Zea mays: one gene and its partners. Each later gene encodes a partner of the first gene's protein in a complex. Links are inferred from orthologs where the notes say so. Each region holds a gene or a part of one and is shown in the gene's direction. Other genes may lie near its edges. The genes, in order: rps8; 30S ribosomal protein S31, chloroplastic-like; 30S ribosomal protein S6, chloroplastic-like; 30S ribosomal protein S10, chloroplastic.

Evidence for each region.
Region 2: rps8 (region 1) and 30S ribosomal protein S31, chloroplastic-like share a complex: the UniProt entries of both Arabidopsis thaliana proteins name them as parts of the 30S ribosomal subunit. The link is inferred for Zea mays from reciprocal best matches to the Arabidopsis thaliana genes rps8 and PSRP4.
Region 3: rps8 (region 1) and 30S ribosomal protein S6, chloroplastic-like share a complex: the UniProt entries of both Arabidopsis thaliana proteins name them as parts of the 30S ribosomal subunit. The link is inferred for Zea mays from reciprocal best matches to the Arabidopsis thaliana genes rps8 and AT1G64510.
Region 4: rps8 (region 1) and 30S ribosomal protein S10, chloroplastic share a complex: the UniProt entries of both Arabidopsis thaliana proteins name them as parts of the 30S ribosomal subunit. The link is inferred for Zea mays from reciprocal best matches to the Arabidopsis thaliana genes rps8 and AT3G13120.

The regions. Positions count from the first base shown.
Region 1 is NC_001666.2:75,981-82,648, reverse strand, and holds rps8 (ribosomal protein S8), read left to right. Parts: upstream 1-3,750; coding exon 3,751-4,161; downstream 4,162-6,668. Other genes in the region: rps19 (ribosomal protein S19), read left to right, coding at 1-261; rpl22 (ribosomal protein L22), read left to right, coding at 354-800; rps3 (ribosomal protein S3), read left to right, coding at 862-1,536; rpl16 (ribosomal protein L16), read left to right, coding at 1,678-1,686, 2,729-3,130; rpl14 (ribosomal protein L14), read left to right, coding at 3,240-3,611; infA (translation initiation factor 1), read left to right, coding at 4,241-4,564; rpl36 (ribosomal protein L36), read left to right, coding at 4,665-4,778; rps11 (ribosomal protein S11), read left to right, coding at 4,966-5,397; rpoA (RNA polymerase alpha subunit), read left to right, coding at 5,460-6,479. UniProt on the Arabidopsis thaliana protein: One of the primary rRNA binding proteins, it binds directly to 16S rRNA central domain where it helps coordinate assembly of the platform of the 30S subunit.
Region 2 is NC_050098.1:170,387,024-170,394,971, reverse strand, and holds 30S ribosomal protein S31, chloroplastic-like, read left to right. Parts: upstream 1-2,555; 5' UTR 2,556-2,613; coding exon 2,614-2,809; intron 2,810-4,026; coding exon 4,027-4,091; intron 4,092-4,173; coding exon 4,174-4,305; 3' UTR 4,306-4,518; downstream 4,519-7,948. Other genes in the region: putative RING zinc finger domain superfamily protein, read left to right, coding at 1,056-1,266; fructose-bisphosphate aldolase, cytoplasmic isozyme, read right to left, coding at 5,187-6,226, 7,142-7,169.
Region 3 is NC_050096.1:303,986,188-303,993,801, forward strand, and holds 30S ribosomal protein S6, chloroplastic-like, read left to right. Parts: upstream 1-2,849; 5' UTR 2,850-2,964; coding exon 2,965-3,387; intron 3,388-4,034; coding exon 4,035-4,280; 3' UTR 4,281-4,404; downstream 4,405-7,614. UniProt on the Arabidopsis thaliana protein: Binds together with bS18 to 16S ribosomal RNA.
Region 4 is NC_050096.1:24,107,341-24,115,622, forward strand, and holds 30S ribosomal protein S10, chloroplastic, read left to right. Parts: upstream 1-3,272; 5' UTR 3,273-3,390; coding exon 3,391-3,576; intron 3,577-3,760; coding exon 3,761-3,817; intron 3,818-3,823; exon of another isoform or gene 3,824-6,873; intron 6,874-6,879; coding exon 6,880-7,191; 3' UTR 7,192-7,500; downstream 7,501-8,282.

The DNA.
Region 1 (6,668 bases):
CCTTTTGTAGCTCGTCATTTATTGGCAAAAATCGAAAAGGTCAATATGAAGGAGGAGAAAGAAATAATAGTAACGTGGTCCCGGGCATCTAGCATTCTACCCGCAATGGTTGGCCATACAATCGCGATTCATAATGGAAAAGAACATATACCTATTTACATAACAAATCCTATGGTAGGTCGCAAATTGGGGGAATTCGTGCCTACTCGGCATTTCACGAGTTATGAAAGTACAAGAAAGGATACTAAATCTCGTCGTTAATTGAATTCAGAATAGAAAGATTCAGAATAAACAAAATTTATAGGATTCAAATAATCAAATAAAGTAAAGGTAGGCGGGTAATAACCTTATTTATGACAAGTTTCAAATTGGTAAAGTATACCCCTAGGATAAAGAAGAAGAAGGGGCTGAGAAAACTCGCAAGAAAAGTTCCAACCGATCGTCTACTTAAATTCGAACGGGTTTTCAAAGCACAAAAACGCATACATATGTCTGTTTTCAAAGCACAAAGAGTTCTAGATGAGATTCGCTGGCGTTACTACGAGGAAACCGTTATGATACTGAATCTCATGCCTTATCGAGCATCGTATCCCATCTTAAAGTTGGTTTATTCGGCAGCAGCAAATGCTACTCATTATAGGGATTTCGACAAAACGAATTTATTCATCACTAAAGCCGAAGTCAGTAGGAGTACTATTATGAAAAAATTCAGACCTCGAGCTCGAGGACGTAGTTATTCTATAAAAAAAACGATGTGTAATATAACAATTGTACTAAATATAGTAAAGAAATCAAAATAATCTTTAGATCAATCTAAGATTTCGATTCCCAGTAAAAAAAAAAGAAATATAATAGAAAAATATGGGACAAAAAATAAATCCACTCGGTTTCAGACTTGGTACAACCCAAAATCACCATTCCTTTTGGTTCGCACAACCAAAAAATTATTCTGAAGGTCTACAGGAAGATAAAAAAATACGGAATTGTATCAAGAACTATATACAAAAGAATAGGAAAAAAGGCTCGAATAGAAAAATGGAATCAGACTCAAGTTCTGAAGTAATTACACATATAGAAATTCAAAAAGAAATCGATACAATCCACGTCATAATCCATATTGGATTCCCCAACTTATTAAAGAAAAAGGGAGCAATCGAAGAATTAGAGAAAGATCTCCAAAAGGAAGTTAATTCTGTAAACCAGAGACTTAATATTGCTATCGAAAAGGTTAAAGAACCTTATAGACAACCTAATATTCTTGCGGAATATATAGCTTTCCAATTAAAAAATAGAGTTTCATTCCGAAAAGCAATGAAAAAAGCTATTGAATTAACTAAAAAAGCGGATATAAAGGGAATAAAAATCCAAATTGCGGGTCGTCTAGCAGGAAAAGAAATTGCACGTGCCGAATGCATCAAAAAGGGTAGACTACCCCTCCAAACAATTCGCGCTAAAATTGATTATTGCTGCTATCCAATTCGAACTATCTATGGAGTATTAGGTGTCAAAATTTGGATATTCGTAGAAGAAGAATAACTAACCATGTCTTCCCATTCCGCCAGTGATAGAATAAAAAAGACAAAACCTTGTTTTTCCAAAAATCCCTAAAAAAAAGAAGAAGTATCCCTCTTTCTATAAGATTTAATGAAAATTAAGAAATCTTTTAATATAATTGCTATGCTTAGTGTGTGACTGTTAGTTTTTTCTTTAGGGTCAAAAATGGAAAAAAACTTAGTAATGATAGAAAATTAACTAATAACCAACCTATTGCTTCGTATTGTCGAGATCCTAACTAAGAAACAGTCACTATGTGAATAAATACATCTATCAAAAATGAGTAGATCTATCATATAGTTGTAGCAACTGCATTTTTTTCTCTACAAAAGAAACCAGATTCTAGGCTATGAAGCAAAACTAAAGGGTAGTGGATAAAAGGAGGGATGATAGATAGAAGGAAGAAGAATAAGAAAGATATAGGATTCCCATATGTATGGTCTATGAATTCATCATAAAAAAAAGGCAATGTGATAAAGCATCAATATAATAAAATTCTCAAAAAAAAGAGAGAATTCATCGTAACTTGACTTTTGAAACAACAAATAAAAATATAAAGCAATAAATAAAGAGCAGCCGGGTTAATAAAACTGAGAAAATTGACTCGGAAAAAAAAATTGGAAGCTCCATTGCAGGATTCAAACCTAACCATTAAAGGAGAAGCTGTGGGAACGACAAAACCTATGACTACATAGGATTTATTGAAAGAATCCTAACACTTCATTGGTGGATGGCGGACAAACCACAAAATTGCTTTATTTGATAAGGTTCTAAATTAACAAATAAGACAGGAAAGAGTAAATATTCGCCCGCGAAATCCTTATTGGATTAGAATACTTTACCACGATTCAATAAGAATAAAAAAAAAGGAGATTCCAAAAAAGGAAGGATTACATTTTATATAAATATTGAATTTGGATATATTCTAGATCTTCTTTCTTGACTATATATTTAATTTTTCTTTTTTAAGTTTAAGAAAGTCAAAATCAAAAAAACCTAACTTTTTCTATTATATATTGATGTGTATCTATCTATAATATTTTTGAATATTATGGAATTAGAGAAATGACATTCGCACGCTTCTCATTTCATTCGCGAGGAGCTGGATGAGAAGAAACTCTCATGTCCAGTTTTGTAGTAGAGATGGAACTAAGAAGGAACCATCGACTATAACCCCAAAAGAACTAGATTTCGTAAACAACATAGAGGAAGAATGAAGGGAAAATCCTGCCGAGGCAATCATATTTGTTTTGGTAGATATGCTCTTCAAGTACTTGAACCCGCTTGGATCACCGCGAGACAGATAGAAGCAGGACGAAGAGCAATGACACGATATGCACGTCGTGGTGGAAAAATATGGGTGCGTATATTTCCCGACAAACCGGTTACAATAAGACCCACAGAAACACGTATGGGCTCGGGAAAGGGATCCCCCGAATATTGGGTAGCCGTTGTTAAACCAGGTCGAATACTTTATGAAATGAGCGGAGTATCCGAAACTGTAGCTAGAGCAGCTATCTCTATAGCTGCCAGTAAAATGCCCATACGAAGTCAATTTCTTCGATTAGAGATATAGAACCCCAAAAAGGAATATTGAAGATAAAAAACCCCTGGTTTTTCTTTCTGGAAAGACAATATTTCTTTCATCCTTTTGCATTGAAATAACAAATGGAAATCCAAATAATATGATTCAACCTCAGACCCTTTTAAATGTAGCAGATAACAGTGGAGCTCGAAAATTGATGTGTATTCGAGTCATAGGAGCCGCTGGTAATCAGCGATATGCTCGTATTGGTGATGTTATTATTGCTGTAATCAAAGACGCAGTGCCCCAAATGCCTCTAGAAAGATCCGAAGTAATTCGAGCTGTAATTGTACGTACACGTAAAGAATTCAAAGGCGACGACGGTATAATAATACGCTATGATGACAATGCAGCAGTTATCATTGATCAAAAAGGAAATCCAAAAGGAACTCGAGTTTTTGGCGCGGTTGCCGAAGAATTAAGAGAATTGAATTTGACTAAAATAGTTTCATTAGCTCCTGAAGTATTATAAATACTAGTAGACGAGATATAGATCAAAGAAAAAATTAGTAGATTTTGTCTCACGTATATGCTTTAAAATCCTAAATTTAAAGAAAAGGGAAAACATGTTGATTATAGAAAAATTAGGAGGAACCTAGAATTAGAGTCTTATGGGCAAGGACACTATTGCTGATTTACTAACCTCTATAAGAAACGCAGACATGAATAAAAAAGGAACTGTTCGAGTAGTATCCACAAATATTACCGAAAACATTGTTAAAATACTTCTACGAGAGGGTTTTATTGAAAGTGTTCGGAAACATCAGGAAAGTAACAGATATTTCTTGGTTTCAACTTTGCGACATCAAAGGAGAAAGACTAGAAAGGGAATATATAGAACTAGAACCTTTTTAAAGCGTATCAGCCGACCTGGCTTACGAATTTATGCCAACTATCAAGGAATTCCTAAGGTTTTGGGCGGAATGGGAATTGCTATTCTTTCTACTTCTCGAGGTATAATGACAGATCGAGAAGCTCGACTAAACAGAATTGGGGGAGAAGTTTTATGTTATATATGGTAATGGCCCCACCTATAGTACCCAAATTCTATCTCGAACTTCCTATTTTGAAAATAAAAATAGAAAAATAGGAGAAAAATATATGACAGAAAAAAAAAATAGTAGAGAAAAAAAAAACCCGAGAGAAGCAAAAGTCACTTTCGAAGGTTTAGTTACGGAAGCCCTACCCAACGGAATGTTCCGCGTTCGCCTAGAGAATGACACCATCATCCTGGGCTATATTTCAGGAAAGATCCGGTCTAGTTCTATACGAATACTGATGGGGGATAGGGTCAAAATTGAAATAAGTCGTTATGATTCCAGCAAAGGTCGTATAATTTATAGACTTCCCCATAAGGATTCGAAGCGTACCGAAGACTCGAAGGATACTGAAGATTTGAAGGATACCAAAGATTCAAAGGATTAGGTTTTTCTGGGGTAATAACTTCCAAGTTTCAAAATTTAAGTGAAGAGACTTATTTTTTCCAAAAGAATAGATTCATAGTTTAAGAAAGGAATACCCATATATGAAAATAAGAGCTTCCGTTCGTAAAATTTGTACAAAATGTCGACTGATTCGCAGGCGTGGGCGAATTAGAGTTATTTGTTCCAATCCGAAGCATAAACAAAGACAGGGGTAATCTTTCGAAAAAGAAGCTTTTCTTTCTAATAGCTTTTCTTTCTAATTAAAGTAAAAAGTACCCACGGAAATGCCCAAATTGCAAATAAAAAAAATGAAAGTAAAGGATATATTTTAACCTGAAACGGATATCTTTGTATCTTTTTTCTTTTTGTTATTTCTAACTCATATTTATGAGATAATAAAATATGACAAAAGCTATACCAAAAATAGGTTCACGTAAGAAAGTGCGTATTGGTTTGCGTAGGAATGCCCGTTTTAGTTTACGGAAGAGTGCACGTAGAATAACAAAAGGGATTATTCATGTTCAAGCTAGTTTCAACAATACCATTATAACCGTTACAGACCCACAAGGTCGGGTCGTTTTCTGGTCCTCCGCAGGTACTTGTGGATTCAAAAGCTCAAGAAAAGCATCACCCTATGCTGGTCAAAGAACAGCAGTAGATGCTATTCGTACAGTGGGTTTGCAACGAGCAGAAGTTATGGTAAAAGGTGCTGGTAGCGGAAGAGATGCCGCATTACGAGCCATTGCTAAAAGTGGTGTACGGTTAAGTTGTATACGCGATGTAACACCTATGCCGCATAATGGATGTCGACCTCCTAAAAAAAGACGTCTGTAAAAAAAAATGAAACCGCTTTCAAGAGAAATAAACGATTCAATGATCAAATAATATAGTCTGTTATGGTTCGAGAAGAGATAACAGGATCCACTCAAACACTAGAGTGGAAGTGTGTTGAATCAAGAGTAGATAGTAAACGTCTTTATTATGGTCGTTTCATTCTGTCTCCGCTTAGAAAAGGTCAAGCGGATACTGTCGGTATTGCCTTGCGAAGAGCTTTACTTGGAGAAATAGAAGGAACATGTATCACACGCGCCAAATTTGGGAACGTGCCACATGAATATTCCACAATAGTAGGTATTGAAGAATCCATACAAGAAATTTTACTAAATTTGAAAGAAATTGTATTGAGAAGTAATCTCTATGGAGTTAGAGACGCATCAATTTGCGTCAAAGGTCCTAGATACATAACCGCTCAAGATATAATCTTACCGCCTTCCGTAGAAATCGTTGATACGACACAACCTATAGCTAACTTGAGAGAACCCGTTGATTTCTGTATTGAGTTACAGATCAAGAGAGATCGCGCATATCATACGGAACTCAGAAAGAACTCTCAAGATGGAAGTTATCCTATAGATGCTGTATTCATGCCTGTTCGAAATGTGAATTATAGTATTTTTTCTTGTGGGAATGGAAATGAAAAACACGAGATACTTTTTTTAGAAATATGGACGAATGGAAGTTTAACTCCTAAAGAAGCGCTTTATGAAGCTTCTCGTAATTTGATTGATTTATTTCTTCCTTTTCTACACACAGAGGAAGAGGGCACTAGTTTCGAAGAAAATAAAAACAGGTTAACTCCACCCCTTTTAACCTTTCAAAAAAGATTCACTAATCTAAAGAAAAACAAAAAAGGAATTCCATTGAATTGTATTTTTATTGATCAATTAGAATTGCCTTCTAGAACGTATAATTGTCTCAAAAGGGCCAATATACATACACTATTGGACCTTTTGAGTAAGACTGAAGAAGATCTTATGCAAATTAATAGTTTTCGTATGGAAGATGGAAAACTGATATGGGACACTCTAGAGAAGCATCTCCCAATTGATTTACCTAAGAACAAGTTCTCGCTTTAAATCATTGCAATTTTTTCCTCTTCTTCTTTTTTGAGTTAGAATAAAAAGAAAAAAGAAAGCAATTTGGCATCTTTGGCATAATCTATATTTTCGCGAAATGGATCATAATAAAATAGATTTTAGGTATCTAGGGAAGATTCACTTGGAAGTAACTATTTCCTAGATACCCATGCAGGGGACTTCGCGGTG
Region 2 (7,948 bases), on another chromosome or scaffold:
CGCAAGGGTGGTTCAGTAATGATTTTCTTAAACTTCTCTGTGGGCTACTTCTACTCACTCATTGTTGGTGGGGAGTGGGGAGGGGGTGGTTGAACAACCCATCATAGTCCCAATGCACTTCTTTTTTCATGTTCACCATTTAAAGCCTCCATTTAGTCAAATTCAGATGCTACATTCTCCTGAACTGAATGTTTGTGTTTGTGTGTGTGTGTGTGGGGGGGGGGGGGGGGGGGGGGGAGGGGGGTTCCATTTTAATCTTCGCTCCCCTCATGTGCGGAGTTTCTTCTATTTGTTTTTTACCACCATGATGGCATGGGAGTCCATGTGTTTCTTGTTCTATATTTTTCAGCCTTCTGTTTGTCAAAACTAGGAGGGATTTTATGTGATCTAATGACCATGTGCCATGTCAGGAGATTCATTATCTTCATTCCTCCAGCAGTCCAGCTGAATGCCAGAGATTTGCTGGACAAAGTTTATGATACTTTGCGCCGTTGTTAAAAAGCCCCCACGTTTCGTCAACAATTAGCAATGGTCCATTAACGGAATCGAAAGCAGACAACTGGGAGTGCTGTTGTAGCTTTAATGAAGTCGTTAAACCATTATTCACCAGTGCCAGCCAACTGCTAAGTTACAGACAAAAAAATAATAAAGGGATAAAAGGGGAGACACTCGTTGACGTGGCATTCTAAATCCTAAATGATTGTATTCTCTTAGCTGGCGGATCATGCTTGTGTACCAAGGATGTCATCTGCAAGTCATTGTGTTTTGATACATGTCAGGTTGTTGGTTTCAATGATACTCATCAATCGGCTGCATCACTCCAAGTTTGGCGAAGTCAATAGTAGCTTTCACAATAATGTTGCTTGAGTTAGATTAGATTACGGATAAACTCAATGGGATTGGTTATTGCAGTAGATTCTTTTGGTGACCACTGGGCCCATCTATTGTTGTAGCGATAAGAGGGATCATCCCCAACTGTTTTAATGACCCCATCCTGTACTGTTCCAAGCAACACCAATGCTGAACGCTGTAACCTGGATGTTCCGTGACTGCAGGTACACAAGGTCCCAGTCATGCCCGTTCTGCCGCGGGAGCCTGAAGAGGGTCCGGTCCAGAGACCTGTGGGTGCTCACCGGCGACGACGACGTGATCGACACGGTGACGCTGGAGAAGGAGAACGTGAAGCACTTCCTCAGCTTCATCGACAGCCTGCCCCTGATCGTCCCCGACAACATGCTGCTGGTCTACTACGACTACCTAGTCTAGCAAGGCTCCTCCCCCCACCCCCCACTCTGAAGCTCTGGAAGAGGAAGGGGGTCTGGGAAGAAGACGCGGCGTACAAGCGACAAGGGTTACCCGCAGCCGACCATCCTCTGCGGATCGAGTTGGCAAAGCGAAGCCGTTGCCGACCAACAGACGATACTCTCGTGGGCATGCCACGCCGTTGCGCTGGCTTTATTGCATGGTGGCGTTGCTCGCTGTAATGGTTGTAAATAAAGAAGGAAAATGTCTCGGGTTTTATATATAATATACTAGCTTGACATTTCTCGTCTGGCGAATTGCCGGACTGTTCAGAATGAAGAAATCAGGGGGCCTCTACTTCTCTGCTCTATATATATCGTCTTCAATTCTCGTGGCCACCTGCACCATTCATAATCGTGAGCGTTGTTGAGGATTCATCCGTTCCTCTCCTTCTAGAGGTTCCAGAAGAAAGAAGACACATGTGGTCAGGTCATGCCATCGAACCGTCTCCACTCCGTGCAAGGCACTTTGCTTGAGGCGTTCTCCCACCACTACATTTTGGCCATCGGTTTTTTATTCATGATTGGGCACTGAAACTGAAACTCTGCTCGGTTGACATGAACCTGATAGCGACCGTTCAATCTGTGCTGTACAGTAGTGCACAGGTGAGTGCCTGACAGTGACCTTGGCAACTCCTCCATTCGGTATTTCGGTTGCTGAAATGAATTGGAATCGCTCCAGCCACACGCTCCCAAATACTACTAACTCCAGCTCCAGGACCGAAAATTGCCTGCACGGGGGTGGGGGACAGCTCGGGGCCGCTCCTTGACGCTCACCCTACCCTCAGGGTTTGTTGATGCACAAGCCATGAGCTCATCCAGTCCGGAAAGCTGGCACCTTGCACGGGTGGTGCCGTGAGGCCGGCCACCATGGGTTCAAGTGTCTGCCTCCACCAGTCCACCGCCGAAATCGAGATTCGAGAAGGACCAGAACCCTAACTCAGCAGGAGAAGCACGGGCCGGAGAACGACGCTGGAGCATCTAGGGTTTTGTTTTCTGTTAGCATGAATCAAAGCTAAGCTTTGGTCATCTTAATTATATTAATTATCAAAAAAAAGAAAGAGAAAGAAAAGGATCCAAGACCTGACCAGACTCGACGACGGCCTGGCTAGGTGTGTGCACCATACTTTACAGTAATGGCCGATAAGGTTACTTCTGGCCCAGCCCACACCAGCCCTGCAGCCCATCTTAGATGTGCGCTGTGGCTCCAACTGCGAGCCCTTTTATCCCTTATCCAACCTGATCCACCACACCACCATTCCCGAGCACACTAGTCTCTCTTCCCTGCGCTTGCTCGCTCCTTCTTGCCCCCATGGCGCTGCTCGCCGTCCAGGGCATGGCCATGTCCACCGCCGCCGCGGCCCTCCCATCTCACAACCACGGCGCCGTCTCATCCTACGTCTCCACCTCCTCCTACGCGCTCGCAGCCTCCGCCGCCTTCCCCCGCGCCCGGGCTGCGTTCGCCGTCGGCGCCGTCTTGTCGGCCACCGTCACTCCAGTTCTTGACGGTAATTAAACAGCTACCTCCTCACTCCCCTTGTTTTTGTCCGATGTAGGAGTAGTTTCTTTCTAACACATGTCACGAGCAATGGCTACTGTTTTCCACGCAATAAGGGAGAAAAGGCAATGACTACTATTACACTGACACTTGGGAAATTCGTTCCAATTCAATCGGGATTTTTCTTCTTTTTATGAAATAGTCAAGGGATTTATTACTGAAATGTACTCCCCAGAAGAGATGGAGGTTGTGATGCTGTTAGTCGATCTGGGTCAACTAGACTGACCAAGGAAAGCATCCAGTTTTTAACAAACTGGTTCATGAAAATTGTGGTGGTTCCAAATATACTAGCTTTTGTCCCAGTCTATAGAAGTTGGATTCTCAGTTTCTTAAAAACCAAGAAGCTAATCCCATCTAGCTAAAGGCAGTTTATAGAAATTGAGGTGGTTCTAAAAACTATTAACCAGTTTTTTTATAAATCACTTTATAGAAACTGAAGTTAGAAACTAGATTCTTAAAAACTAGGTTGCTTCCAAACATGGCCTAAGGGTCTGTTTGGAAGCACCTAGTTTTTTTTATAGAAATTGACGTGGTTCCAAACTAATTTATAGAAATTGGATTCCTAGTTTCTTAAAAAACCAAGAAGCTAGTCTTCTCTAGCTAAAATCAATTTATAAAAATTAAGGTGATTCTAAACACCATTAACCTTTTTTTTTATAAACTAGTTTCTAGAAACTGGATTCTTAAGAGCTTAAGTTGTTCCACACGAAAAAATTACGGTATCGAGGAGCAGGAGCATATATATGAACTGAAAACTACTACTGTAGTAGATTATTAAACCTTTACCGGTTGACTGATTCACTTCACACGGTGTCAGGAGTGAGTGCCAATCAAGGAAGCTGAATCTCTTGTTTATCACTACCGCCTATAGTTTTGGTCGTCTCTGTTGCCACTGGCCTCAGCTGTTGTAAACACTTGTTTCTGGTTTATTAATACAGAGAGTCAAAGATGGATGCTTCTCATGCGTGTACTTCAAAGAAGTTTTAGTTAATCATAATTTGAAATCAATTTCTGAAATTCTAGTGTCCATAGCCTGCTTCAGGATTTTATTCTCTGATTGTACTACGAACCCAACTGGGGTGCTGTCCCTTTTGGCCTCTGTTTATATCAATACTGATGATCCTGTGGACTGACAGACAGTTTTAAACTTTATCTGGTCTTGCTCAGTCTACTGCGGGAGAGGGGACAAGAAAACGAAAAGGGGCAAAAGGTTCAACCATTCATATGGCAATGTGAGTGCTCCAGCACAATTTACATCGCATTTTTGGTTTTTTCCCCCTGTTCTGTTTTATTTAGCTGTCTGATCATGTCTAGGCGAGGCCGCGCAACAAGAAGAAGGGAACTGGGCCTGCGCGGCTCTTTGCCCCTCCTGCTCCTCCAAGGAAGGATCAGTTCGATGATGGGGAGATCATTTCAATCGAGATTGACGAGGACATCCTGGAATAGGTTGTCCGAGTTCTGCCTTGCTTTATATTTGCCCTGAGCTTAATTGGCCTAGTTTGTACCAAATCAAATACTACATATTTTAAGTAATTATTTCCTCGCCTATAATTATCGATGGGTAGGCTGCCACACTTTCATTTGGCTAGTAATGTTCCTACTACTGACTGGGTTCTTTATTTTCCTTTCCAGCTGCTGAGTTCTTTACTCTCTTCAAAATGAAACTGTGTCGAAATAAGTTTTTTTTAGAAGATATTAAATGATTCATCTAGTGGTAACGGAGAGATTACACGTTTCATTTGTAAGGGGATTAATAAGATTTAATCTCTTTCAATCCTCTTCTAACCGAACAATCCAGCCCTAACAGGTAAAACAAAATCCAACTAGCGATTTATTCATACGTCAGCAATGTGCAAAGATCTTGCGTGCTGAACTAATGATCGTGTTGTGTTATTAATATGTGTTGCAATGATGTAAGTTTTGTTTCAAACTTCAGCTAACACTTTCAGGTCTCTTGCTATGCCAATCTCTCACGAGTGTCTCAGCAAAATATGATCCAAACAAGTTGCTGTCTCCAACTCAGCATATATGAATTTTTGCCGACTCCAACTCAGCATATAGAATTGTTTTTGCCGATACATAGCCAGAATTACAGCATAGTTGATAGAACAAAAAAAGGGAGCTGCTCGATTCTCCATCGGCAGGACCAACTTACACGAAATTTAACAGCAAAGAGACTAATTAACATACAAATATAAAGATAACCATCATCCCACATAGGAAGCATGTTTTTTGGATGTCCGAAAATAAGCTCTAACGAGCAAACCACACTCCGCAACCTAGCTCGTAGGCAGGAGTTCCAAAACGGGCACGCAAAGAGAAGCAACTCAGTACTTGTAGTCCTTGACGTGGAGGCTCTCGGTGTCGGCGGCAGCATCACCCTTGTAGGTGCCGAGGGTAGCCTCAGAGTTGGCCTTGCACCTGGCGAGGAAGGCAGCTCTAGCCTTCTCCAGGTTCTCCACCTTGCCAGCCCAGGCCTTGAGGGTGCTCGCCTGGAGGGCACGGCCGAAGGAGAAAGACAGGGACCACGGCTTCTTGGTGCTGAGCTTGTTCATGGCATTGAGGTTGCGGGTGGCCTCCTCCTCGCTCTGTCCACCAGAGAGGAAGACAACAGCAGGCACAGCAGCAGGGACGGTCCTCTGGAGGGTACGGACGGTGTACTCAGCAATCACCTCAGGGGTCACCTTCTTGGAGTCGGAGCCTGGAGTCACCATGTTGGGCTTCAGGAGGGTACCCTCCAGGAGGACATGGTGCTCGTTGAGCGCCTTGTAGCAGGCAGCAAGGACGGTCTCAGTGACGTAAGCGCAGCGATCAATGTCATGAGGGCCATCAACAAGGATCTCAGGCTCAACAATTGGCACCAGACCATTCTCCTGGCAGATGATGGCATAGCGAGCCAGACCCTGAGCGTTCAGGTCGATGGCAAGCTGTGATGGCTCATTAGGGCCAATCTTGAGAACAGCGCGCCACTTGGCAAAGCGGGCACCTGCCTCGTAGTACTTGGCGCAACGCTTGCCAAGGTCGTCATGGCCTTGGGTGGTGGTCTCCTTATCAGTGCCAACAACCTCAATGGTGCCCTTGTCAACCTTGATGCCAGGGAGGACGCCTCCCTCCTTGAGGACATCAACAAAAGGCTTGCCATCCTTGGTCTTCTGGTACAGGGTCTCCTCGAAGAGGATCACACCGCTGATGTACTGGAGAGCACCAGGGCAGCAGAATAGGAGCTCACGGAGGGCACGGCGGTTCTCCTCAACGTTCTCGACATTGATGCTGGAAAGGCGCTTGCCAATGGTGCCAGTGGACTCATCAGCAGCAAGGATACCCTTGCCGGGGGTGCCAATGTAGGCAGCATTCTTGATGAGCTCATCTGCAAAACAATATGCATAATAAGCATGGCTATCTACCAGGTACCAAGGCTATACTGAATAATACAAAATGACTTCCATTATCAAATCAGGAGGCCATCCTGAATAATACAAAATAAACTTTAATTATTAATTCAGGAAGTTTACTGTTTATTAACCAAAAACTGCTTTATATATAATTGTATCGGCATAAACATCATGACTAAAAGGAACCACAGATCAAGATTAGACTAGCACAAAGCTTTAAACGATTTACATATCTGACTGTCCTAGATGTATATGCGTCCAGCATCTATTCTAGTAGCCATGAAACAACAGGCAAATATATTTAGATTGAACAAACAGGCTATATATAATTTGAAACAACCATATAAAAACTAGTCCCTCTATTTTTGTATAAAACTTGCTAGCAGGAGAATATGTTTCATCAACTGGAAACAGGACGAGCAGATGCATACCACTATATGTATGTATAAAATCGAAGCAAAAAGTAAGCAAATCCCATATCCAAACCGATCAGAGGCATCACCTTTTGGCAACCACCAAGCCCCTGGCGGGCACACGACAGCACAATCCTGTACGGATCTAAAAAAAATCCACAAATCCTACAACTGAACGAGTCTCTCAGACCTATACGAATCGTTAGGCTAGGCCACCAGATTTCTGTCCACACATTCCATTTCAAACTCCGATCTGTGGACAGTACAGTCTACAAAGAGTGTTCTCCCGTCCATATAGCCGTTAGCCTTAGCATACCCATCAATCACAGCGAGATCTGAGCGCACCAACAACGAAACAACTAAACAGATCTACGATACACGAGACCTAAAGGCATCACAAGCAGATCAGCAACGAAGATCAGCAACGAACGAGGATACGATCACGACAGGGGGGGAGGAGGAGACGATGGGACGTACCCTTGTACTTTCCGCAGTAGGCCGACATGATCGATGCTCGACGCGACGGAGGCTACGAAGATCGCAGGCGAGGTGGTGTTGGGAGGAATGGTTAAGGCAGGCGGGGGATGCGGACGACGACGGGTGTATTTAAAGACGGTTTGGGCTTGGCCAAGGGGAAAGAAACCAGCGAAAGGGGGATCTGATCTGGGTGCGCCACCGGAGCCGGCGGATCGAACCTTGTGCGGCGCGCCCGGTTCGGCGCGGCGCTGCCCCCGGTTTTCATGTGCAGTCTCGTCGACGCGGCTTTCTGGTTTTTTGTTTTGGTTGGGCTGGGCGGCCGGTTCTCTTTCTCCACGAGGCATATCTATCTATTTTTTACCATATATTTTGGCTGCTATATACAACATAGTGTAAAGTGCATCGGTGACATCGAGTCTTTTTTGTTGTTAACTGGTTATTACAAAGGCGCTTTCCAGCTTCGAATTATTAGAATAACTATGGTTTCCGTACCTTCTATATGTGGGATTATCATTTTAGTAAACACCATTCCAAGACAAAAAAAAGATAATAATTAAAACATAGAGTGCAGTTGGATACAGCATGTGATAATCATATTTTCCAATGTTTTTTTTGTTAAATATTTATTTTCGTTGTTTATATACGTAGATTCGATTATCATAGCTAGGGCCTTGGCCCGAATTTTTTGTATTTTAGCCCTTAAACAGAAGTAAAATCACGTTTAGACCTAAAAAAATTTTAAATGCAGTTTTGGACCCTTAGCTCGGCGCCATAGGCCGTGGCGCCGAGCTAACACAGCTCGGCGCC
Region 3 (7,614 bases), on another chromosome or scaffold:
AGTTATGCTCATGGATGGACAAAGTGCAAATCAAGAGTAAAGGTATGTTTCTAAGCCTTAGTACATTGGTTTTGTGTACTAATATACTTGTCTAAGTGTTAGAAACAGAAAGAAGAAGAAAAGAAAAGATGTGGAAAAGGCTTGGCTGTGTACAGCCAAGACTCAGCTCAGTCTGGCACACCGGACTGTCCGGTGGTGCACCGGACAGTGTCCGGTGCGCCAGGCTGACTCGGCGTGAAGAGGTCGCTCTCGGGAATTCACCGACGGCGTACGGCTAAAATTCACCGGACTGTCCGGTGTGCACCGGACTGTCCGGTGAGCCAACGGTCGGCAGCGGAATCTGCGCGCGACACGTGGCCGGGCCAACGGTCGGAAGGGGGCACCGGACTGTCCGGTGTGCACCGGACATGTCCGGTGCGCCAACGGCTCCCAGATCCGCAACGGTCGGCTGCGCCATTTTAGGAAGGAGATCGGGCACCGGACAGTATCCGGTGTGCACCGGACTGTCCGGTGCACCCGACGACAGAAGGCAAGATTGGCCTTCCAGATTTGCTCTCAACGGCTCCTAGCTGCCTTGGGGCTATAAAAGGGACCCCTAGGCGCATGGAGGAGACATCCAAGCAACCTTAGAGCATTCTTGATCATCCACACTCAGTCTTTGCACATTCGTTTGTCATTCTCAGTGATTCGAGCTCCGTTCTAGTGAGAACTTTGAGATAGTCTTTTGAGCTCGATTCTTGACCGTGTGTTGCGCATCTTGCTGTGGATTTGTGTGTGTTGCTTCCCTCCCTTACTCTGTGCTTCTTTGTGAAATTCAATTGTAAGGGCGAGAGACTCCAAGTTGTGGAGATTCCTCACAAACGGGAAAAGATTAAAGTAAAGAAGAACACCGTGGTATTCAAGTTGATCATTGGATCACTTGAGAGGAGTTGAGTGCAACTCTCGTCCGTTGGGACGCCACAACGTGGAGTAGGCAAGTTTTGTACTTGGCCGAACCACGGGATAACCACCGTGTCATCTCTGTGATTGATTTCTTGTGGTTATTGTGTTTTGACTCCTCTCTAGCCACTTGGCAATTATTGTACTAACGATTAACCAAGTTTTTGTGGCTTAAGTTTTCAAGTTTCACAGGATCACCTATTCACCCCCCTCTAGGTGCTCTCATCAGCATAATCCAAAGATTGACCTAAACAACCAAACGGGGTGGGGTGGCCAGTCGGTCAAGGAGTGTGCATCACTAGTCTAGAAGCTCGCGCTGCCAGCCAACGAGGGCACACACTATTGACCTCACGGTCATGGTCCGACCAGCGATGGTGCGGGCACGAGTAGACAACGAGGGAGGGGCTCGCCATGGGAGGAGATGTCATGGTGAAGAAAGCGACGCTAGAAGAGAGAAGATGTGTGACGGGAGAAGAAGAGAGGTGGAAAAATTAGAAAGAATTGGACTGTAATCGATGGTAGTGGTCGATAACTTTTCTCAACTCTATCAAACTTATGTTGTTGGAGCTTCCATTGAGAAGCTTCACCAAGAGAGTGGATCTAGCCTTTAGATCCCCCATTTTGGTAAATATAAATTTAGTGGATCTAGATCGTTTGACAAAGTTTTTCAAAAATTTAAATTATTTTTAGTGAATCTCAAATAAACTCATACTGTTGTTTCATTTGATATGGCTCCTTTTAGAAGGGCTCTAGCTCCTTATTTTATTGTCAGTAGAGTACCTTCTATGAAGCTGAAGTTTTTGTAAGTAAAAAAATGGGCTATTTAAATTTGTACCCTTAGTTTTGCTTCATTCCTTATTTTTAACCTTGGTCGTGTTTTTTCTTAGTTTTGCCCTACTACTCTATAACACTAGAAGGACAAAACTAAGTAAAAAAACACGACTAAGGGTAAAAATGAGAACACCAGCAAAACTTGGAGCAAAAGCTTAAAAAATCCAAAAATAAAAGCCATATTTCAGCATCGTGTCTCTTTTATAAAAAATGACTTTGACTTTTTGAGCTCTACAAGGAGTTGTTTTCGGCTATTGGCCCCTTTAAGAAGTCGTGAGAAAGTAGAGTCGAAGTCCTGTCAAATTGACCTACAATAGAATGTCTTCAGACCTTCACACAAAGTTTTTCGGTGTTCAAATTCACTAGATCTTTTATCTTGGTCCTGTTTGTTTCGGATTCTAGCAGCTTCTGGCCACCAAAAGCTGCTGCGGATTGCCAAACGCTCAGCTTTTCAGCCAGCTTCTATAAAATTCGTTGGGACAAAAACCATCCAAAATCAATATAAACACATAATCGGTTAAGTCGTTGTAATAGTATGAATTCATCACTTTCTAGATCCTGAGTCCTATGAACAACTTTATTTTCCTCCACACGTAATCGTAATGATACTCAGATTCTCCCCACAGCCAGATTCTCCTTACAGCCAGATTTTCAGAAAAGCTGGTCAGAAAAAAACTGAACCAAACAGGCCCCTTATATCTCGTATACAGAGAAGATTAGGTCTACTCTATATTTAGTCAATTCAACTGTTCGAGATTTTTTTAAAAAAATATAGGTCCGCTGTTGATATTGTATTTTAGCTGCCTAAATCTTTGGACAGCAAACTTAGATAATCAATTAGTATAATTAAAAGAATAATTTATACTTTTTCTATGGGTAAATAAAGGAAAACATACATGCTGCGTATATGACAACAAAAGAATCATACACATAAAACATAGAAGAAATGCATAACTACATATAGTTGAAATACACACAAAGTTAACGTTGTAAACAATTTTGGTTTAACTGGCAACCCGGCCGTTTTTCCACCAATATGAAAATCCGTGCAAACTCCAAACAGGGCGTGGCGTCCTATCCTTATCTATCGAGTGGACGCGACGCCAACAGCGTCAGCGCCTCCTCCCGCTCTCCGGCTCCTGTCCTGCTCGCGCTCGTCGCCCCCCTGCCGCTCGGCTCCCCTTGGCCCCTCCAATGCCGCCACCCATGGCACTGCTGCCGCTCTCCTCCGCATCCGCGTCCGCCGCGCTGCCGCCCTTCCGCTCCTGCCCGCCCGCTGCGATGCTGCTTCGCCTCCCCTCCCCCGCCCCCTCCCATTTCGCCCGCCCCCGCGCGGTCTCCACTGGGTACGCGGCGTCCTTCTACGGCGGCTCGGCGATGTCCGCGGCCGGCGGCGCGGACGAGGAGGAGGAGGTCGGCTACGAGTCGGGGTTCGGCCCGGGGCTAGGGCTGGGCGGCGGCGGCCTCGGGATGTCGGCCGCGGAAGCCGCGCTGGCGCTGGAGGAGCGCGAGATGCCGCCCTGCCCACCCGGCCTCCGCCAGTACGAGACCATGGTCGTGCTCCGCCCCGACATGTCCGAGGAGGAGCGCCTCGCCTTCATCCAGCGCTACGAGGAGGTAATTTGCGTTTGCCTCCGCTCCGTTTGGCTGCCACTATAGCTAACTGGATGGATGGAGCAGCGTAACACGGGCACGGCTCGATCGGCTCACCTCTGCCTCTTGCATATCTCGCTACCATTTGCTGTTCCGATGGCAGAGAGAGCAGACAGATGATAATTTCTGGACAGGCTGGTATCATACTTGAGCAATGCGAGACGAATGTTAAAAGGGTTCCGAGTGTTTCGAATTTCATCCAATAAATATTAGGATTTCTAAACGTATAAAAGTGGATCCGCCATAGTTAATTGCCATCCTATCCTGAATTCACCATGTATGTTAGGCACTGTTTCTGTTAGAAACTCACTCTAGTCTAGAGCTAATCAGTTTGTTCACATTGAAGTCAGATGCTGCGGCGGTAATATATAGAGACAAGAAACCGTTTCGGATTAAAGACAGGTGAACAGCTTGAATATATAGCAGTAGAGGTTTGAACACCCCCTACCTAATAACTCAGCTAATTTGTGAGTTAACAATCAGTCCATTAGCTGGTTTAACCTAGCTAACAATTTGTTAGTTCCAAACGGGCCCTTAATCGCTGTTATCAGTCACATGCCATCTGCGTACCATTCCAATCCAGCTCAGCTTGGTGTTTTCCTGTGCTGCAGCTGCTCGTCGCCGGCGGCGCCATGTACGTGGAGGTCTTCAACCGCGGTGTCATCCCGCTGGCATACAGCATCAGGAAGAGGAACAGCCGCACCGGGCTGCCGTCCACCTACTACGACGGCATCTACCTCCTCATCACCTACTTCACCAAGCCGGAGTCCATGGACGCCCTGCAGCTTAAGCTCAACGCCGACGACGACGTCATCCGCTCCACCAGCTTCAAGGTCCGCCAGCGGAAGGCCGTCTAGTTAGACGGGTTGCCTCCTCCGCCTTCAGGCCCTGAACACTGTTTTGTTCACATACCATACTACAAGAAATCTGCTGTACAAGAATCCACCTTTGCCATGATTGTTGAGTTTTTTTTTTTTGAATATGTTTCTTGTCTTGTGGTTCTCGAAAATGGACGTCCGGCCATCGTTCGCCAGAGAAACACCGCGCCTCCTAAAACCATCATGTTTCATCAGGTACCAAAAATAAAGGTCCGTAGCTAGGTAGCGTCGAGCCTGAGCGCGCTCCGGGGATGGAGAACAGTCCAAACCCATCGTAAATCTGCAACAGTACAAGCATATACAGTGCAATTTGTGGAAGAGATTCGTACAAGTACAACTTTCATTTGATTTCAGAGGCGTTTAAATACTCCACACTTCATTCCCATTTAGCGTCAAGTGCGTTGGTGTTTCCAAATATTCATTTGATGAAAGAGATGTTCTCGGCATATAACTAAACAGTACGACACTAGGACATGACATGATGCAGAACGCAGATTGGCTTTCGGATTTCTCGAGCAGGAACAGGAAACTTCGGAAGATAAGACACAAAGCACAACACAAACCAGAACAGACGCCAGCAATCCAAAATCTGTCAGCCATGGAGTAACATTTAGTATCTCTCATGGCGCCTGAAATCATAAACAAATACCTGGGTCAGTCAACGATGTGAGGCACAAGGGTTTCAAATAAAAAAGTGTGCCTATTATTCAGCAATACCTGCTGCGCTCCCTGGAGCGTGAACGCTCTCTTCTCCTTGAGTCATATCCGCGGGAGCGGTCATAATCCCTATCCCGGTCGCGGTCATGGCGACGGTCCCTATCGTGACGCCTATCGCGTTCCCTATCATAATCTCTTCTTCCATCTCGAGACTCAACCCTGTCTCTCCTTTCTGAATCTCTATCCCTGGACGGCGGGCCGTTTCGATCCTTGCTCTGCTCTCTAGATCTAAAAGAGCCAAATGGGCATGCTTTCAGATAAGATGACCATGATGCTGATTGCTGACTAAAACAATGAGGATGCGGAATACAGAATACCATACCGCCTATCATCTTCAGTTTTGCCTGTCCTCCTTTTGTTTCTCTGCTCCTGCAAGATGCCACAGTGTATTTTGTTTATTGACAGTACAGATAATGATATTTTGGCATATTTAAAATCAGAGACAACGTTCCAAAAGATAGGGCGGGCGATACTTTACAGGCAAGGTTGCTTCAGCAAAATGTAACTTGCAAACTTATGGAGGAGGTAGCAGATAGAAAACAGAACAAGTTGTCACTTACAGCAAAATGTTGGCAAAAGAAGTGTGCTTTCAGGATAACTTAACCAGTATTATTTGTCACCTGGTCTACATAATATGGCTCAGGCAGTAAAAAGGCAACCTCCAGCTTCTGCCCAACAATCGATACTAAGCAGACACATGAGCAGTTTGTCACAATTAAGTAAACATGATTTTTTTCATACCATGGTCCGCACGCTCCTATGCTTACATTTGTCAACAGACAGTGACTGTTGTAGCCATAGGTATGAAGATCATCGCATGAGATTCCAATCACGCGACATGGACTAATTCCTGTAATGACTATCGTAATAACCATAGTGCCCGGCAATGTGAGAATCAAATAATATATAGAGGGAAGGTGAGAACCTTGAGGCTCTTGAGATAAGAAAACTCACAGATGCCAAAAGGCCCAAAACAGAGTAACTCTTTAAAGCAGAAAACGGTACATTACACTCAGCACCTGATAAATTGCACCTTTATAGATTTAGATTGAGGATAAGTGAATAAACCAAGATTATCGTATTCTGATGATGGCCAAACAGAATGTAAATTTTGTTTTATTTGTCTTTAAGGTTTGGAAACCTTGGAAGTATTAATCTGTTTCATAAATCTCCAGTGTTTAACTTCTACTTTGGGCATAGGCATGCAGGAATTTACCTGAAGTTCTTTCTGTTTGTCACGAATCAGCATGTAGCCTAGATGCAGTTTCCCTCCAAAATGGTCAGCAAGACGTCGATCACTGTTGAGATATTTTCAGCTTAGGATCAACAACAACAAAGCCTTTTATCCTAATCAAGTTGGGGTAGGCTAGGGATAAAAGCCCGATGGAACCCACAAGTCAAGGTTGATTTATCAAGGTGCAATTTTTAAACCCAATAAAAACCCAATATTTTCAGCTTAGGATAAATATTCAATTTGACAGCTTCAGATATTTTTGGGAATGCAAAGAGCTAGAAGCATTACTTGTCATATACACTCAGAAATGCTCCACATATATCACAGAGGCGCAACTTTTGATCGGTCTACAAATTAAACAAAGAATCATCAGTATGTATCTAGCATTGCATCATGATGAATAGACACAGATAATAAGATGAAAAATCTGTAACAAAATAGTGCCAACCATTATTCCATTAAACCATAAAAAGGCAGTGTAGACCACAAGAACCTCTAAAGAGTAAATTCAATTACATGTGCAAACCATTCCTACCAAGAAATCCATATCAATGTATGATGTAAACATGAGGCACATAACAACAGGGTCATTTGAAAACATGAGGCACAAAGGGTTGATGCTGAATAAGTGCCTTACAAACATTGAAACCCTAGATGTGTAATTCACGCGCTGTAAAGAAAATCATATTGTCGAGTAAATGTGCTGGTACATACATGACAGGAACAATTTTCCAGTGTACAAAGATTGAACTGTGCACTTAAAAGCTAAACTGACAGAGAAAGGATTCTACAACAATATCTGATCAGAACATTCAAGAAATATGAACTAGGCAAGTTAATTTACTTTCAACACACGATTGACTTATGTTTAAAATCAGTTTCCCCGTTAGATGATTAGGCTACAGAAACATATACATTGAATCTGACAATCTATTAAAAAAAGTAATCCAAGAATTATGTCATATTGTCGGCAGCATATAAGACACAGATTTGAACAGGCCTTTGTACCAGGGTTACGTCATAATAAGCCACAAAAGCTATCATCAAATGATGCTACAGAAAAGATAGACGACAATACTATGCAAACTAACGCTACCAAACAATGACAACTTAATTCGAAATAATTATTGGTTATATGGAATCTCACAATCCAAACATCAGCGGCAGTATATTTAGAAGGGTCTGAAGGTGGCTCCGGACGTCGCGCCAGCTAATAATAAGAGTCAAAAACAGGTTCCATCAGTCAGAGTTCATTAAACAGGATAAACGTAATAATGCCAGTGTCATAAACCCTTGTCTGAGACAGATCACAGCAAGATAAAAAACTACTGAAACTGGCTGTTAAAAGGAACTTTAAAATAC
Region 4 (8,282 bases), on another chromosome or scaffold:
GCCACTGATGGCGTAGTGGATAGCGATCTGATCATCGACGGAGGGCAGCTGTGACTTGAGTGTTAAGAATTTACGGTAATACTCCCGCAGAGTCTCCTTTTCCAGCTGTTTGCAAAGCGAGAGCTCGACCAAAGCGTCGGTGTCTGGGCGGTACCCTTGGAAGTTAAGAAGGAACTTGTCCCTGAGGCTTCTCCACGAATCAATGGACAGCGGAGGCAATCTGGTGAACCAGATGAGTGCTGGGCCCTCTAGGGCGATGATGAAAGACTTCGCCATTGTGGCGTGGTCCCCTCCGGCGGATGCAACGGCGACTTGATAACTTATTATGTATTGCGCCGGATCGGTGCTGCCGTTGTACTTGGGATATGCCCCTGCTCGGAAGTTAGCTGGCCAAGGCGTCACTTGGAGGTGTGGCGCCAGGGGACTTCGCTCGTCGAGGTAGTTGACCCCTTGGAATGGCGCGCCGTGCTGGAAGGCGTAGTCATGCTGGGGGAAACGCGGGTTCTCCGGCTGCGCCCGGTGTTGCAGGGGTGGGCCATGCTGCAGGCCGAGGTGGCCTTAGCGCGTGTCTTCCGGTTGCGCGCGCTGCTGGAGGGGTGGCTCTTGCTGTAGACCGAGGTGGCCTTCGCGCTGCATCAGCGCGATCTCGCGCTCGAGGTCTTGGGCCTTCTGCTCCTCGTCGCGTATCATTTGCCGCACCTTGGCTAGTGCGGACACACGCTGGCGCTTGGCTTCGAGTATCTCTTTCTGCCTCTGGAGATTGCGGTTCTTGAGGCGCAGGGCGCACAACTGTAACTGTTCTTCTGTTGAGACGCCGAGGACCTCGCCGTCCTCGGTGAGATCCGCGCCCTCCAGTGGGGCGAAGCCTGGGGGCGGCTGCGATTGTCCTTCGGGCCCGCAGGTGCGGAAGGTGTCGTCTTCGCAGGTGTGGGAAATGTTGTCTTCGCAGGTGCGGGGAATGTTGTCTTCAGTGGGCTCTTGGTGGGTGGATTGGGTGAGGGCGAGGGCCTTGCCCTTTCTCGCGGCCAGCAGTGCTGCCTTCGCAGCCTCGTCAGCCTTCGGGTTAGCTCTCTTGGGTGCCATCGCGGGTGGTCTTGTCGTAGCACGAACGGTGGGCGCCAAATGTTGGAACTTGCTCTCAGTAGCAAGGAGGCCAACAAGGGTGAACGGTGGTGACAACAGGGTTACGTGCTCGGGGGCAAATGGCTCTGTTAATCTAGCCTCTCACGGGCACTGTGCGGGGGTATTTATAGGTATCTGAGTGCCCAGCGCCTTGTGTTAAGGACGCATGTGCCCTCGGACACCTAGTTTATCCCCAGAATATTCCCATAAAGCAGGGTTACAAGCTGTACTTACAAGAATGCCTTTACAAACTAGGCCCGTAACACAAAGGCGGCCACGCGAGGCCCGTTACAATGGGCCAGATCACACGTGGGCCTTAGAGCAGGACGAAGCCGTGCTGCGGGGAGACGTCACCGCAGGCCTTCGTCTGGTGCTGAATGAAGCGAAGGGTGTCCCTGCCCGTTTTGTCTTCGTCAAACCAGCGACTGCAGCGAAAGGCGACGAGCGAAGGGTGGCGTCTTTGCCTTCGCCCCAACACACCCCCCATCGATTTTTCCTCGGAATGGAATCATGAAAAATTCCAACGAAAACATTTATGGCCTGTTTCGATGACTATGTATTCACCTTTATCCATATTTATTAGAGTATATGTGTGCTGGACATGATGTTGTGATTCCCATTAACATTGATGGAAGAAAAAAAATCTAGTTACCTCACTATACGCAGACTGACGTTGTAGCTAATACTTATTAGGGTATCTTTAACCCCGTTGGGAATACCTGAATTCACCCCAAACGATTTTAAAGATGCTTTGTTGCCAGCCAATGAACCGAATGATCGTCAGCTCGGTTATGTTCGGTCTTTGTTACGCAAACACTTTGTGTGGAATGTATTTTCATTTAATGCTATATTGGTTGATTAGAACTGAGTCATCTTCTCTCTGCTACATAGCCAACAAATCTATTTGCTAACAATCTTCCTCAGAAAAAAATAGCAGGAAAGGAAAGAACTTTAAAAGTACCTGGCAAATATCTGAAACTTGGTATACTATTCATGTCACACTAATTTTATCAATCACAACCAATTCACCTTCTGTCTTCTATGTGAACAGGAAATCTCTACACCTAGCAATCTTCCTCAAAAGAGATAGGAAAATGCATCAAAATGCTTGGCGAATCTCTGAAACTGAGTCAACCACTTAACAGCAACTCAATAGCTATTCATATGCCCCGATTTTTGCAGCTTGCTCTAGGTGAATAAATTTGCTCAGGTGTCAGATGATCTGAACTTACTGTAGCATTATGCAGAAAACCAATCTCCGTTTTTGAAATATTGTATGTCGACTCTTAAGGAACTTGCAGCTCATATTGGTGAGGTGGTTGTTAATAAGTGCTTATCTGCTGCTGCTAAATCTGGCATGTTTGTCAGCTTGAGGACAAGCGCAAAACTCTGGCAGAGATCTGTAAGGTTACTGCTCTCACAGAAGTCACCAAATTCCCCTTTCTCAACCTCTCCTAAATCTGATCGGGACAAGACGAACGTTCATGGATTCAACCTTAATGAGGCATCACGTGCTATGAATTCTGATAGAACAGTCATCACAGCGAAACCAACTTTTGGTGATCGATTGTCGAACAAATCAAATACAGTTCCATCTCCCAGCACCAGCAGGCAGCTTAACCAGGGGGGGGGGGGGGGGGGGGGGGGGGGGGGGGGGGGGGGGCTGCTACTGCAACCGTTCCATCATATTCAAGGCTTCGTGGGCAGCAGTCGGGCTTAGATCTTGTAGCTGCTCTCAAGGGGATTGGGAAAAAGGAGTGCTGGGGATTGTGGTGATGGCCGGGATAAAGAAGGGAAGTGAATAGCTGGTGCTCTGTAGATGTATGTCTGTAGTAGAGTTAGTTTGGCCACCTCTATGGCTCATCATTCTGTATTTCTTTTGCCTCGTGCCAGGAGCTGTGAATGTAGCTTCTCCTATTTGAGCGCTGGTATGGACAGTCTATCCAGGCAAGAAGAAGGTAACTGATTGTTCCTTGAAACGATCAAGTTTATGCCAGCCAGATCGACACTTTTAGCTGAGGTCACAGTAATATCCAATTCCACGATCTTCCTTTCCGAACAAATCATTCATGATCTTCTTCGAAAGTAATGCTAGAGGAGACAGAACTCGCCCATGTTTGCCACCAGACACCTCGCTTTGAAAGTAACAAAGCTGGAGGGGCTCGAGCGCAAATGCCCCTGGAACCGGATAACACACCGCGATAGCGAAGCAGAGGTCTTCCAAAACCCAACGCGGCAAACGGCTTCCTCACCCCCCCTCCCCTCGCCATGGCCGTCCCCACCTCCACCTCCTCCCCGCTCCCCCTCCTCTTCCTCCATCGCTGCACCGCAAACTCTAGCCCCTCGGTTCTCTCCTTCCCGTCCTCCCTCCGCGGCGCGTCCCTCCGCTCCCGGGCCGCGGCCGCACCGCCCGCAGAGACCCTCTCTGACGACGGCATCCCCGACGCGCCACCGGTACGTGACTGAACTGATATTGCCGTGTCTTTTCGCACACGCAGAGTCCAAAACCTGCGAATTTCATGATGGCGTGTACCGCTTGGTTATGGGGGTTACAATTACATGGCGACATTGGTTCAGTTGGCACACTCGTTAGACCTTGTTCATTCGGTGACTAAAATTGTTAACCTCGCGCTTTCAGGAAGGGGCAGGAACGGGAATTCCGTTGCCATCGTCGATTGGGGATGATGGGGAGCAGGTACCTTCCATAGCAGTTAAAAATTTCCCAGATTATTATGTTACCGAATCTTTTGTTCTGATATTGTTGCTTCCTTGATCGAATGAACTGTGAAAAGTTATAACCATAAACCATACAACATGTTTCTCTTTTATTGCTGCATAGCAGTGCACATTTTACTTGTGATTGTTTAATCACAATAAATGGAGAGCACGATGTGCTCTGGGTATTTGTGTAAATGGCATTTAGAAATCGTTCAGGACGCAATGCAATGATGCTAGACAATATCAGTCAGCACATTCGTTTAAGCCGTTAATCTTAGTGTAAACTGTTCTTAACGTGAGTGTGACTTGGACTTCAAAAATGTATGTTTTTGTAGAAGTCCATATCACGTTAGACAGTTTAGCATCCTTAATGCTTAAGCCATGCATAGTTACCAGCACATGATTGAAGAGACTATGTGGGAAATTCATTTCGTTTGTCCTTTAAATCATTCCTATCAGACTAGAATGAGGATATCTGAGGGTCTATGGTGGTTTAGCTTTCCAGATTCTACTTAGCAGTTGAAAGCTTGCTGGATCAAACTTTCAAAGTTTTCTGCCTATTAATGCTCTGTTCCTCCTTGGAATTATTTGACGTACTTGAAAAATGGTGGACGGCGTGGGAGAGGGGGAGGGGCAGCATAGGGAGAGGGAGGGAGGGAGCAATAACTCTATTCTTGCTTAGACTGAAATAGTTATTTGCCCCTATATTTAATTATTTATAGTTCCTATAGGACTTGTATCCCAAGCATCATTCTTATAGATTTGTAATCTTGTTTCCTAACAAACCAATCTTCTTTCTTAAACAAACTCTATCATTATTTTCTAAACAAGCTATATTTTATTTATTCCAAGCTTATTGAAGATTACCTTTGAGTTTCCATCTATTCCGGATTCTCCAGTGCGGGAGGGATTCTAGGGGCAGTAGAGGCCGCGGCTCATCAGGGCCTGGTGTTGGGCCTCAGTTGGGCCACTAGGCCCGACATGGTGGCCCATATTTAGGCCTGTGAGGCTGTGACATACTGACTCATGACTGAAGCCTAGTATCATTTGGCCATCGAAAGAAAGCAAAAAAAAAAAAGACAGCAGTTGTCTCAAGCGCTCAGCAACCATGGACCATGAATTCCTTATTGTCTTTACCTCGCTGTAATTGCGCCCACTGTGGTAGTCAGTGTGTTCCCCTGAACAGTTAGCAATATCTAACTGTGTTGTTGTGTTTACAATTTGACAAGTTATGCAATTCCTCTTGCTTGTCTCCCTAGGAACCTCCATGGTACTGTCATTGAACTGTTGGAGTCGAGTTGAGATGCTTCCTTCATTCTAAAATATATAATGTCAATGTGTGTGCTCAGCCTTTTAAACTTGTATAAACTTATTTACTTTTCTCACATGGAAATGGTCAAATTGTAAACAGGACAAAGGTGTGTTTTGAAGATCCATGTCCAAAATGGCTATTAAGTAGTAAAATTAAATAGAGCTAACACTGTATAATCTGTCATTGAGGCTACTCCTTGTAGTTTTATGTTTACTTTGCTTCATGCTTCTGCAGTTCTGCTTGTTAAGCATGTCCATCGTAAATATTTGTCTGCAGTTGTTGTATGGAAGTGCTGAAAACGAAATTTTTACAAGGCCTTGTGCACAGTTGGGATCCTCCCATAGTGATTCTTATTTTCTTTAGATGTATCACAAGAGGAAATGGTGATAATAAACAGATACGGAGAGATACTTGTTGGTGTTTTGCATGAAGCTGGATCTAAGGGCCTTGTAGTGTTGTGTCACAGATTTAGATCATCAAAGGAAGGTAGAATTATGTTAAGTCTCGCTGATGCATTAACATCAGAAAATGTCAGCATATGTGTTTTGATTATTCTGGTAATGGAGAAAGCGAAGGTACTTTTGGATAAGGTTACTATAACGAAGTGGACGTTTTATGTGATGCGATCCTGCATTTCAAAAACACAAACGTGACACCCATGCTATTGCTGGCCACAGTAAAGGAGAAAATGTGGTTATCCTCTATACATCCATGTATCACGAATTCACGGTATATCTAAAGCTATTAACCTTTCTGGAAGGTTTAAGCTGGAACGTAGAATTGGAGATCATTCCGTAAATGATTACATGGAAAGGATTAATCAGCATGGTTTCATTGATGTGGAAGACAAAATAGGAGTATCATCTACCGTGTGACCAGACAAAGTCTGATGGATGGTCTTAAGACAGGCACTCTGCAATCTGCATGCATGTCTATTGACCAAACTGCAGGGTGCTGACAGTACATGGTGCTAATGACGATGTTGTGCCGTCAGAGGATGCTCTAGCGTTTGATAAGTATATAAGCAACCATGAATGGCATATTATCGAAAGAGCTGATCATAGATGTGCAACTCATCAGCTTGAATTAGCTGCAACCGTACTGAAAATTTATTAAACTGGATGAGGGTAGGCAGAAACAAACGCAGCCATGTGACATACCCTTTTTGCCCCAATATTTTTGATATATTAATTTTAGTGAAGAACTGTTTTATTGAACATTTATGTTTTTCATAATATTACAATATTTGGCCTGCATCACATCAGCTTGAATTAGCTGCAATTGTACTGAAATTTACTAAATCTGGATGATGGTAGGTGGAAACAAACATAGCCACGACATAGCCTATTTTGCTGGAGGACTGTTTTATTGAGCATGTTTATTTTCCAGAACATTACAATATCCCTCCTCTCCGCCCAACACACACGCAATATATATAGTGCAAAAGCATGCGCTTGCCTTCACAAATTGACCTTAATTGACTTGATAACATCAAGGTGTCTTGATTCCTAGCAACTACATGTTTGTCGTACAGGTAATTGAAGTGTTGTACAGGTAATTGAAGTGTTATAAGGTTTATTTTGCCTTTTGGAAACATATTTAAACATTATATGACCCTTACCCTAAATCAAACACATGCTTTTATTTCTTCACTGTTCAGTTTGCATGCAGAAGTTGCTATCTTTCAACGACTAATAACACTTTTTATGAATGTTATCTGTTCTCAGCTTGCACCCAAGCAGAAGATCAGAATCAAGCTGCGGTCCTACTGGGTGCCGTTGATAGAGGACTCGTGCAAGAAGATAATCGAAGCTGCCAAAACAACCAACGCAAAGACCATGGGTCCCGTTCCTCTGCCCACTAAGAGGAGAGTCTATTGTGTGCTTAACTCTCCTCACGTGCACAAGGACTCACGGTTCCATTTCGAGATCCGGACGCATCAGCGGCTGATTGATATCATGTATCCAACTGCCCAAACAATTGATTCGTTGATGCAACTCCAGCTCCCTGCCGGTGTGGATGTTGAGGTTAAGCTATGATTCTGTTGGAGCTGAACTTTCCGAAGTTTGATGTAATGAGGTATTCATTTTCTGCAGCTTTTCTCTGGGACTGAAAGAAATGTAGTGCCTGTACTAGGAAAGAAGATGTTCAGAATTGAATGTACTTGATTTGAAGTATATCAGATGATATGGTTCATGCTAGCTGTATACTTGTATTACTGTATTGGTGGCACTAAAATTTCTTCTAGCAAGTCTGAAGCAGACGAAGGATTGGCCAAATTTGTAAGCTTCTGAAGGATCGTTTGAGTCGTCTGGATAAGCAAAATACTCTTTCTTGCTGGTTGCACTGATTCTGCTCAACAGACTGACGGTGCTTTGTAACTTGTAAAGGGGATTTCTTTCTATTTTTCTTTGATAGTTTGGAAACTTAAATCCGCTCCGGGAATTCATGATTCTCGGAGAGGATTTAAATTTCCAAACTATTCCTTAGGGCTTGTTTAGTAGCAAAGATACTGGAGAGGATTAGAGGGGCTAAAATCCTACGAGAATGGTAGTTTCTTTCTTTCTCTTTTCAAAAAAAAGTACACTTTCAGTTGGCTAGGTGTGCTGTTCTATTTTTAATAGATCAAGTGATATTCGTTTTTTCTGAAGAAAAGGAAGGCATAAAGTTGGTCTTTAGCAGCCCCCCGACTCCTGCCTCAATAGTCCTCGTTTCTACATCCTCCGCGAGTAATAAAATCCACAAAGTAAGCTTGGGGTTCTGAATGGCCCATAGCCCATATGATTTCAGTGCTTTGGCCATCCTTTTCTTAATCTATATCGTCTGCTTGGTCACTAGAGGAAACATATGCTAAAAGTACATCCCAATATCTGATTAGGGCACTGAAATTGCATATGCTAGTCTTCAAGAGTACAGTACGCTACATTCACACCCAAGAGTGCGCAACACCACACGTCCGCACCCTCCTATCAGTATTAGCTATCACACTTCTACGATCAAAAGCACCTGCGTGTGTGAGCCATGCATGGTTTCTTGTTGGAAACAAAAAGGTCAGTGACAGACAGGGCAACTTGAGCAAGCTACTCTTCAAATGGAAACACCAAGCAAAATCGGCAACGTACTGAAAGAA